2 linked regions of the Drosophila melanogaster genome follow. The gene in region 2 interacts genetically with the main gene of each other region. Each region holds a gene or a part of one and is shown on either strand. Other genes may lie near its edges.

Region 1 (5,429 bases), 7.5 Mb from region 2:
TGTCTCTCACTCTCACGCTCTATTTTATTGTTTTCCACAGCGATGCAATTTCCCGACGTGTTGTTGTCACCGAGAGTCTGACACTACTGAAAAAAAAACACTACTGAAAAATCGGGCAATTTTCGCTCCCACCACCAACACAGCTGGCGCAGTGTTGCATTCGGTTTTTGTCCCCACTAAGCCAAGTATCGATTGTTCGTCCAAGCCTAACGGCTTATTTTCAAATGTTTAAAATAAATGTTGAATTAATTAAAAATAGTTTCTTAATTAATCACTTTGTTTTTATATTGTCTCCCATTTACTTTCGTTCTTTAACTTTATGGCAAGAATCAACTTGGCAACTTTCGATATGCTGTCAAACATAATTTGGACAAATTTAAATCTTTTGATATTATTGATCGCAAGAAAGGTACCTTTTACCTTATTTTCATTTTCAAATAAGTTCATTTATTTATTAAATTTTTTAATAATGCCTAGTGATATTCTATAGTTCAATCACGGATTCAAGGAAATATATAATTTGTTTTTGAATTTCGTTGTCAATATACATATGTAAAAATATATTTTTTGACAGATAAAAAGAGCCTTCTCAAAATGGAAATTTTAAAATTAGCTTTAATCTGGTGGATTTTAATTATGAAATGGCCATTTTGATCACGCACTTGATATGCCTTTGGAGTATACAAATTTGTTGCCGTATCTTATCTAATCGGTAGTTACCCGGTTTTAATCGTTATTACTTAACCGTAACGACATTTGTCTGCTTGTTGGCTACTGATATTTGACTTGGCTTTCATTTCACAACTTTATGTGTCATTCCTAGATCCGACCTCACCCCAGGTTCCCCTTCAGAATTTTGCAAAACAATTTAATCGGTTACAAACGGCGAGTGTGTAATACATTTATTGTTTAGCGTATTCTCTTGGACAACTGGCTACAACTGCGTTTTCTAATGTTTTTCATACAAAAATGAACAATCTTTGTGTGATTTATTGATTTTGTTAACAAAGCAAATTTTACGTTTAAAAGCCACTTAGTTTCTCACGTTTGTTGCTGTTCCAACTGCTGCCACTGCTGACCTTCACCTTGCGAACTGCACTGCAGCTCTAAGGGATTCAAGGACAAGGCGGAGCAGGCGGAATGGAGCAAAACCCTGCACTTATGGAATTAATTAATTAACTAAATGTTATGAAGAAAACTCATAGGTGGATCAGGGGGACGGCCAGACGTCTATGCGCTGCCCACTTAGATATTGGCCTTGATGACATCCTCCAGACGCTTGGCGTTGGCTCCGGCGAACTCTTCGACCTTGACGCCGTTCTTGAGGAACACGAAGGTGGGCATGCTGGAGATGTTGTATTCCATTGCAATGTCTTCGCATTCGTCCACATCGACCTGTAGGAGAAGGGCATTTAGTAAGGATTTCCATAAAAAGTGTTAAGCAAATAAAATAAAGCTGAGCACATTTTTAGATTTACCTTCAGGACGACGACGTTGTCGGCGAACTGCGTGGAAAGCTCAACCAGTTTGGGCGAGATCATCTTGCAGGGTCCGCACCAAGTGGCGAAGAAATCCAGCACCACCAGCTTGCCGGATGCCTTGGTCAGCTGTCCATCGAGATCGGCCTGCAAATGAAAATGTAAATTAGTACTATCTCTGAGTAATATCATCATACATTAGCGCTAATAATTTCCCACTCCCTAGAGATGTTTCAGTAATTTTCCCTTTAGCAGGTGGTGGTCATGTTTTCAAACTTTATGATTTCCGATTGTGGAGCATTGATCCGGTGCTATTGTAAATATACATATTGCGTTGGGGAGGCCCCGCTACTATCTCGCCCGATAAGCCTGTTCCCTGCAAACACAACGTTGTCAGACATCCCCAAAGTTGCCAAGCTGTAATCAGCCCCAATAATCGCCGATTGACGGGTTAAATATGTGTGTGTGCTTCATAAACTTGTGAAATCGGGTCAATTTCATTTCAGTTTCTGTATTGCACCCATTGGGCAGCAAAGCAAATCAATATTTAAAGAATTTCCAAATTATATGTATGTATGCCGAAAGGTGTGGCGGTCGTGGGCAGTTCCATCCCCTTTCTTCCACCCATTTCTCTGCCCGTGACACGTTTTCCCAATGACCTTTAATTAATTGCTAGCGATGCCAATCGCAGAACAGCACATGCAAGCACAGAGCTCTAATGAAATTGACGATTTCAATTGGAATGGGCAACCGGTTTGGAGGAATTTGCATAAGTATATGCCCAAGAAATTTAACTTTATACACGCTATTTTTGCTAGCACAAAACCACTTGATCATCCCTATTACATATTTTAATCAGGCTTAGATCATTTCTATTGCAGACACATACGTCATGGAATGATTAATCTCAAGATGGTGATGGTACTCGATGACTGTTGGCTACAATTCAATTTGTCAACATGTATTGCTGACTCATTTTTTAAGACAATATCTGAGTAAACATAAAAAACTAAAATCAGTAGTTAAACTACTTTGTTATATTGTCTAATTCAGTATGCATAAATGTTTTGATGTTTTCGTGGATTCCTTATGCCTTCGATAAGCATTTTTTGATTTTTGAGCTTATTGTTGTGTGGTTTGCTGTATAGAACTAGACCGCGAGAGTCAATGTTTGATAGTGTTTAAGTGTGTATACAAATATAAATAAACTAATATTGAGAAATAAAATAAGAAGGCATGCTTTCACGTATTTACTTCCCAATATTTCCTGACGTAACTTTGTATTCATGAAATGGAACCGGTTCTTCACCCCGCGCACTCGCGTCTTTTGTTTTCTTGGCTTTGGATCAACTTGCATGGCGCGCAACTTATGTGTGGAGAGCACACCCTGTGCTATAGCAACTATTCGAAATATTTCTAACCAAAAAACCAGGCCTCGACCACGATAATGAATTGCAAATTCATGCCAGTCGCACACACATCCGTACATATGTGGTTTCTATAGTACGTATATCTTGTTCGCACTATTTCCGATTAGCTCGGTCCGGAATATTTCAATTTCAAAATTCGGTTTCCGTTGAGACCCGTTTTGCGGTCCACGGGATGATATCATTATCATTTCGCTGTGCTGCTATTCGGAACTTTCTCGTTTGCTCTCCGCTTTCTCGCTCGTCTAGACCGAACGTGAGTTCCTTCTATTCGCGGGAGAGCGTATGGCAAAAAGCGTAGCGAATCCAATCATTCAAAGTAAGTGGCTAATTGGAATGCCGCTTCCAATGCCATATTTTCAAAGTCCGGAGCGAAAAAATAAACGTGTAACTGGAACTGAGGGGTCAAAGGGTAGCGCTATCGAGTTACCCAATAGATGACGGATGTGATGCGTCCATAGATCCGGTTGAAGTGACTCACCTTATCTTTCACCTGGTACACCATGTTGGATGGGAGATGTGGAGACGGAACCGGTAGAAATGTACAAAAGTTACTTAATTACCACTCGGGCAGCTCTTTGCAGCACAGCTAAATTTTTTACCAAAATGAGCACGTCGCAGTTGCTTTTATAGATTTTTTACTCACGCTCACGCTTCTCATTGCTATACGCTCTCTTTTTGCATATGTGTATGTCGCGTTTGGTGAAGGTGAATTTCGAATGGATAGACCGATTGGCACATCTATGCGATAGGTTTTGCTGGCCACTATGCGATTACTTTAAATGTGAAATCCTCTTGCTGAAGATAGCGATTATAACTTGTAGTACTATTCTCTTTAGTCTGGTTATGTCTGTGTGTCTGTGTCTGTGTGTCATTGTGAGTTTATCGTAAAGCAACTCTGCAGTAGTTCAGTTTCTTACCGGTAGGAGGCTTTTTAAAAAAAAACTGCAAGCCATGTAAGCGGTACAAAATTTGGGTCTTGGCAGCCAATTTGTTTTTCTTTAAATGTTTCCGCCAATTATAAAACATCATTCGTATTAAAGTATATCTTACTATCTATCGATTTTAAACTACAAATCATTAAATGCGTCCTAAAATTACTACAGTTATGGTTAAGTGAGCACCTGCTTGTCTACATTACATGGTTTTTACCATTACATTTTACATGGTTCTTACCAACAATTTTTTTACAGCGCGACATCTATCTCTGATTTCAAGAACCGCACCATCATGACCGCTGAAAATTAGCTATGTTTGAATTGGTCGCGCAATAAGAAATTATATTTACGCACTTAAATTAAATACATTTACTTTTACAAATCAACACTTTTCATAATTTATTTGCCGAGAAAAACAATTGGTAAACCGTTTAACACTACACGTACAGATGGAAATTAAGATTTCACCACTATTTTAAACACTATGTTACTATGCTTAGCTATCGACTATGAGTAATCCTCCGGTGTCCGGATTGGTTAAGTACTATTCAATGGGTGACCGATGGGGCTAGGCCTGTAGCTGCTGCTGGGTGGTGCAAGTGGTGGTGATGGTGATGGTGGTACGTCAGCGTGGGCGGTGGTGGTGGAGGCGGTGGATGGCCAGGGGGCGCGGCCACTGTCGGCGCAGTGGATCCTCCGGCAGTGGCAAATCCACCTGCTACCGCCATTTGTTGCTCGTAGCTGGTGTAGTGATCGTAGTAGCCGCCGTATCCGACTTCCAGGCCATTTCCGGTTGCAGTATTTCCTGGTGCCGTAGTAGTTCCTGTGTCGAAATAGCTGACTCCATTATAGCCACTACTGCTCTCGTAGTAGTGATGTCCCGCTGTCTGATTTCCACCGAACTGTTGGTGGCTCTGCTGCTGCTGGTGGTGGTGCTGTTGCATTTCGTACTCCGCCTTGGGGCTATAGTAGTAATCGTAGTTGTCCTCCACATACGGCTGCGTCTCCACGGTGGCATTGTACTTAATGGTGGGTCCCGGTTCGGCCTTGCAGCTGATCTCCTCCTGACCACCGCCACCACCCAAATGCTTGATCTGCGAGTAGTTGATGAACTCCGGTTCCGGAGTGGCCAGTTGCGGGCTGGAATCATAGGCTACTGCCTGGCATTGTGTGTGTCCGTGCACGGGAACACCCATCGCAAAGCTGTTCCCGCTGGAGGATTGCTGGTATGCGGCCAGTTCCGAAATGCTGCAGGCGTAGGGCAAACTGGGAGATTTACTAGGTGCCGCGGTGGCCGCCGCTGGAGTTGCATGGTAGATGGGATAGTTATAGGTGATGTGCTGGTGGTTGACCGTAAACACATTAGCTGCCGTCTCGCAGGGTGCCGATGACTCGGATCCACTTAGTGGCCAAGAATTGGTGCCGTAATTCGAGGATTGTGACAACTGATGGCTCCTCGCCGTGGTGCTGTCATCCAGGTAGCTGCAAGTGCAGTGGCTATAACCGGCGCACTTGCCACAGGCTAATGGGGGATACAAATTGTAAAAGAAATCTTTAAATATTCTTGTTTTATATACCTACCATTA
Region 2 (5,607 bases):
GGAGCACATTCGCATGGGCTACATTGCTGCTCTGGGTGTGCTCCCATCCTTTATGATCCGCTGTCATCTGCAGGCTATATTGGACAGTCTGGTGAAGCACTCCCTAACTCCACTGCAAGCAGTTCTGGTGGGTGAAATGGGTGACCGCGAGAACATCCAGGCATACAGGTGGAGCGAGGCACGGACACAGAGCGTGCTGGCCTTGACCAAGTTGGTGAAGACCGTGGGATATGGAGGGGGAATTGGTGAGTCAATGATCTTAGTTGTGGGCTAAGAATGTGAACAAATCTTAGTATACAATTATTTTTTCAGACTCATTTGCTGAGCCGAAAAACTTTAACAAGGTTATCGAATGCCTGTTAAGAGCTCTTCAAGAGTACACCCTGGACAACCGTGGTGACATCGGAGCGTGGGTGAGGGAGGCGGCTATGTCATCGCTATACGAAATCGTCACTACGTGTCCGCCTGATCTCCTCGCCCCAGAGCAAGTGCATGAGATTGTCGTGGGCTTTATGCAACAGGCGGTGGAGAAGATCGATCGCACTCGTGGATTAGGTGGTCGCCTTTGCTGCCAACTGATCCATCATCAGCCGAGGATCCCCTACATACGGGAGCACTCAAAACTCTTGGAAATATTTCCCGCGGATGCGGATTCCGTACTTTGGTTATTTGCCGATCACACATTCCCGCTGTTCTGCGAGCTGCTCTCTCTGCCGGATTACTCTAAAAGAGTTCTTTTGGGTCTGAGTGCCAGCATTGGTCAACTGACTGAATCTCTTGTAAGTTGTATAGACCACCTCTATATCAATCTCTAAAATATTCTTCCTGCAGATCAAGTATGCCTCCAGTGCCTTATTCCACTTCTTGCGTTCCAATCCTGAGACTGTTCCGCGTCTCTGCTCCGAGGTGGTCCAGATTTTCGAGGAGCATCTACTAAACGAGCGCGTGACCTATCCTCTGCTCAGTTTCCTGGATATACTCATTGGCTCCGGAACTGTAGAATCGGTTCTACACGATGAAGCAAATCCCTTTGCAGAGGATATCTTTAGGCTGCTCAACCTGGAGGTTAAGGGCTACAAGAAGCTGTACAAGACTGCGACCAGCATCAGTGCTTTTTGCCAGTTGCTCCAGGTTCCTCGCCTGTCTAAACGCATCCTCTCCAAGCTCTCAGTATTTCTTGGACTGCAGCACGTCCACGTTCGCAAAACCGCTGCCACAAAATTGTACGAAGCGTTGGCTCTGCACGGCGATGTCACCGAAGTGCCCGAGGAGAATATGGATGAGATCCTAACACTGCTCTCCGAAACGGACTGGACCCAGCCGCTGGTGGAGGTGCGTCCGCTGCGGAACCAGTTGTGCCAACTAATGGACATCAAGCCTCCCGTAAGTGGAGCAGCTGCTGCAGCCGCTTTGCAGCAAGCGAGTGCTGATAAATGAATGTTCCCACATGTATTTAATATATATTAATGCACAATTGTACTGACAACATACATAAGTGGTATTCATAAGAATTTTTATTCTTTATTTTGGAAGCACATCTTTATTTTAACATGTTTTTTAATATTTATCGTTTTCAAAACAAAGAGCTTGTAAGTTCGATTTTAAAATTTCACTTGCTCAAAATAAATTAAATATTGTTCAACATTTCAAAAACCAACGAACACTTTTTGATAAAAAGTGGCTATTTTCAAGCCAAATAATTTCGAATAGGCGCTGGGCCATTTCCCATTTCATTGCGACGGTCACACTGCGACAGAGACAGAAAAAAACAAGACAGGCGAGGGAATGAAAAATAAATATAAATTAAACGCGGACTACCCAAAAGCAAGGAGGGATAAAGGAGTCGAGATCAATTAAACACCGCCGGACTTCACACGGAGAAATTTGTCATAGAAATTGGTTTTTTTGTAAATAAAACACGAACTCGCAAAACACACGTTTCTTTCGCCGCACAACGTTGTTACGTTACACAATTGTGGATTGTGGTGTCACCTACTCCGCAGCCAGTGCAAATCACGATGAGTATTTGGGGGGTCCGATGTCTGACGCAGAGGTTCATCCGGCAGGCGTACATCCTGGCCAACAGAAGGCTATTGGGTCCAGTGCCGCAGCGCTCGCCGCCGGCATACGGTAAGTGAGGTTATGGCCGGCTGGCCAAACCGATCCGTGTTTTCATGTTTTTGCCGATAACTAACTAGCATTCACGTCGATTTCAGCTCCTCTTCGGCCAGCCCACAGCAGCCTCTATCAAATGGTAAAGAAACGCACCCTTGAGGCGCGCACCAAATTGCAAGCCAACAAATATCCAAATCATCAAGTCTGCGTCACCAAGCCCTCGACCACGCCCCCCGTTGAAGAGTACGAGACGGCGGTGGAGGGAGCCGGCGTTCCCGCCTACGCCAATGCCCAGTTTCAAGCCCATTCCCAATCGGAGCCACTCTTTAAAGTGGTACCCATCGTTCATACCATTCACCATCCATTTGCATTAGCTGGATAAGTTGGGGATGCAAACTAACTTCCTACAAGCCTTGTGAAATTGATAACTAGCGAAAACATAGCTGGGTTATTAAACAGAAACCAGTTTGCATCCCCATCAAAGACTTGCAGAGTTATTAACAAATATTAAACAATATAATCAATTTCCAGGGCTTTGCTGACGTCAAGTCCGTCTGCAGTGCTAAGGATGTGTTAAAGTCGGACAGTGCAAAGCTCAGCACCAGCCAACCCGTCCTGGATTCCTGCAAAGCGACTAGTCCCTGCGAGGAATTCAAGCGCAAACGAAAGGAGACCACCTGCCAGCCCTGCGACGAGGATGGTACTGCTCCCGGTGGCGGTGATGGTGGAGACGAGGAGTGCGAGTGTCGGATGAAGGACCTACGGCTTAAGTGCCTCTTGGGTGCCCTGGCTGCCTTGTTAGCCGGAGGATTTGTATGTTTCGATCTGATATCTAAAGGAAATATTCTCTAATTACTTTGCTATCATATAGCTCGCTTGGTTTATGACGCGGGATACGGATGACAGTGAAGCCAAAAAAGCCGAGGCGGAGGAGGAGGAACGAAAACGTAGATTAGTTGCTGGACTAGCCACGAGTAAGTAAAGCGAAAACCATAGATTTTTGAATTGGTAGGCTAGATTAAACCACATTTGCCAACTGATTCAGATAAGCATTATCTTATACATACCTCAAAATCATCATGATTGGATAATAATTACAACAATTTTCAAGATAGGCCGAGGTAACTTATCACTTTCTCTCTATGCGCAGGTCCGCCCAGTTCTGAGGACCTTCCCAAGCATGTGCCGTACCTGATTATCGGCGGCGGAACCGCTGCCTTCTCTGCTTTCCGAGCCATCAAGTCTAACGATGCAACAGCCAAGGTTTTAATGATTAGCAACGAGTTCCGCAAACCCTACATGCGCCCCCCACTGTCCAAGGAACTGTGGTATACGCCCAATCCTAACGAGGATCCCATCAAGGACTATCGATTCAAACAATGGACGGGATCCGAGAGAAGGTAGGTCTGAATAACTTTTTTTATATAATTGAAACCCATTAAGTTATTCCCTTCCTGTTCACAGCTTGTTCTTTGAGCCGGATGAGTTTTTCATTGACCCCGAGGATCTGGATGATAATGCAAATGGAGGGATTGCCGTCGCTCAAGGTTTCTCTGTGAAGAAGGTGGACGCTCAAAAACGCATAGTGACGTTGAACGACGGTTACGAGATAAGCTACGACGAATGCCTAATTGCCACCGGCTGTGCCCCCAAGAACCTGCCCATGCTGCGTGATGCTCCGCCCAGCGTGCTCGAAAAAGTAATGGTCTATCGCACACCCGATGACTTTGATCGCCTCCGCAAATTGGCGGCGGAAAAGCGTTCAATCACAATTGTTGGCAATGGATTTATCGGCAGTGAACTGGCCTGCTCCCTGGCACACTATTCCAGAGAGAACAATGGCGGTAAAGTGTACCAGGTGTTCCAGGAAAATGCCAACATGTCAAAGGTCCTTCCAAACTACTTGAGTCGCTGGACGACGGCAAAGATGGAAGCCCAGGGTGTCTGCGTCATCCCCAACGCCAGCATTCGCTCGGCAGTTCGCGATGAAACCAATCTAAAGTTGGAGTTAAACAATGGAATGACTTTGATGTCGGACGTGGTGGTGGTCTGCGTGGGTTGCACGCCAAACACGGATCTCGCGGGACCCAGCAGGCTAGAGGTGGACAGAAGTCTCGGCGGTTTTGTGGTTAATGCAGAGCTGGAGGCCAGGCGGAACCTGTACGTGGCCGGTGATGCTTCCTGCTTCTTCGATCCTCTGCTGGGCAGGCGACGGGTGGAGCACCATGATCACTCGGTGGTCTCTGGTCGGCTGGCCGGCGAGAACATGACGGGAGCAAGTAAGTTACTGGGCTTAAAGTTAATAACCGATCGATCATAATGTTCGCCGTACCTTTTGCAGAGAAACCTTATCAACATCAGAGCATGTTTTGGTCCGATCTAGGTCCAGAGATCGGATACGAGGGTATTGGCTTGGTGGATTCCTCGCTACCCACCGTTGGTGTGTTCGCCCTGCCCTCGGAATCCGCCACGCGCGTTGACCAACTGTCTGAGTCTAGTGATTCCGACGTGCCGGAGACCAGTACGAGTTCCAGCCAGTCGTCAAAATCTGATGCCGGGGCTAGCCAAGATGGCGTTACCTGTGATCCCGATGAGGCGGGCAACTATGGCAAGGGTGTAATATTCTACTTGAAGAACGACAAGATCGTCGGCATCCTGCTGTGGAACCTCTTCAATCGGATAGGCTTAGCTAGGACAATAATCAATCAGAATAAGAAGTACGATGACCTCAATGAGGTGGCCAAACTGTTCGAGATTCACGCGTAGAGAACAGCGAGTCCCGAGGGACCATGGAGAAGATCTGGCTACCCTGATATGCTTATCAGCACGCACCGAACAGAACCTATCCAACCCGAATGCCTTTAACTGTGTTTACTGTGTACATTTGCAACTGCAACTAGATACGAACGGCAATGACGCAATGCAACAGAAATTTTAGTTTTATTATTTTTGGAATAAACCTTATTTTGTAGTCAACGACATTGATTCGGTTATGTAGCAGCAAAGTGCATATCTCCGTGTAAATATTGAAAAGTCGTAGACAAGCGGGTCTCTGTTGAATTGTGTGTAACTTTCGTAATAAACCAAGCACCAGAAAGTTGTTGACAAAAAATTCACCGTACCAACTAAACTGTTCAAATTATTCATTTTCGGTGTTGAAAAATCCGCTTTTTGATCCTGAGGCACCCGTTATTTAACTAATCCTAAGAGATTTTGCTTTGATTCTTATTTAAATAAATCGTAGGAACTTTGGAACTTATTTTTTTTACTTCAATCATATAACCCATTTGTTTATTGTCCGAGTTGTCTCACAACGGCACAGAATTTAAATGTACATATTTTTTTGGAATTTTCCCAGAATTTGACTAAACCATCTGCCTTATAAAAGACGAGCACCTGGTTTAGGGTTTTAGGCTGGATTAGCTGAATATAGCGAGGATCAATAAAATTCGCGAAATATTATTTTCGCTGAAGTAGGATCCTACCTGACTT

Evidence for each region. A genetic interaction does not mean that the proteins touch.
Region 1: of AIF (region 2) and Trx2, changing one suppresses a phenotype caused by changing the other (phenotypic suppression), as found in Drosophila melanogaster (one study listed by BioGRID).

What each region holds. Positions count from the first base shown.
Region 1 is NT_033779.5:9,611,498-9,616,926, reverse strand, and holds Trx2 (thioredoxin 2), read right to left. Parts: upstream 3,762-5,429; 5' UTR 3,552-3,761; intron 3,514-3,551; exon of another isoform or gene 3,495-3,513; 5' UTR 3,411-3,494; coding exon 3,387-3,410; intron 1,626-3,386; coding exon 1,479-1,625; intron 1,396-1,478; coding exon 1,246-1,395; 3' UTR 523-1,245; downstream 1-522. Other genes in the region: gcm2, read right to left, coding at 4,392-5,365, 5,425-5,429. UniProt on the Drosophila melanogaster protein: Participates in various redox reactions through the reversible oxidation of its active center dithiol to a disulfide and catalyzes dithiol-disulfide exchange reactions. As a reducing substrate of peroxiredoxin 1, thioredoxin 2 is preferred over thioredoxin 1.
Region 2 is NT_033779.5:2,150,017-2,155,623, forward strand, and holds AIF (apoptosis inducing factor), read left to right. Parts: upstream 1-1,737; 5' UTR 1,738-2,018; coding exon 2,019-2,130; intron 2,131-2,216; coding exon 2,217-2,449; intron 2,450-2,646; coding exon 2,647-2,928; intron 2,929-2,986; coding exon 2,987-3,089; intron 3,090-3,265; coding exon 3,266-3,515; intron 3,516-3,579; coding exon 3,580-4,394; intron 4,395-4,456; coding exon 4,457-4,881; 3' UTR 4,882-5,089; downstream 5,090-5,607. Other genes in the region: Tbcd (Tubulin-binding cofactor D), read left to right, coding at 1-245, 313-779, 832-1,437. UniProt on the Drosophila melanogaster protein: Probable NADH oxidoreductase. Mitochondrial effector of cell death that plays roles in developmentally regulated cell death and normal mitochondrial function.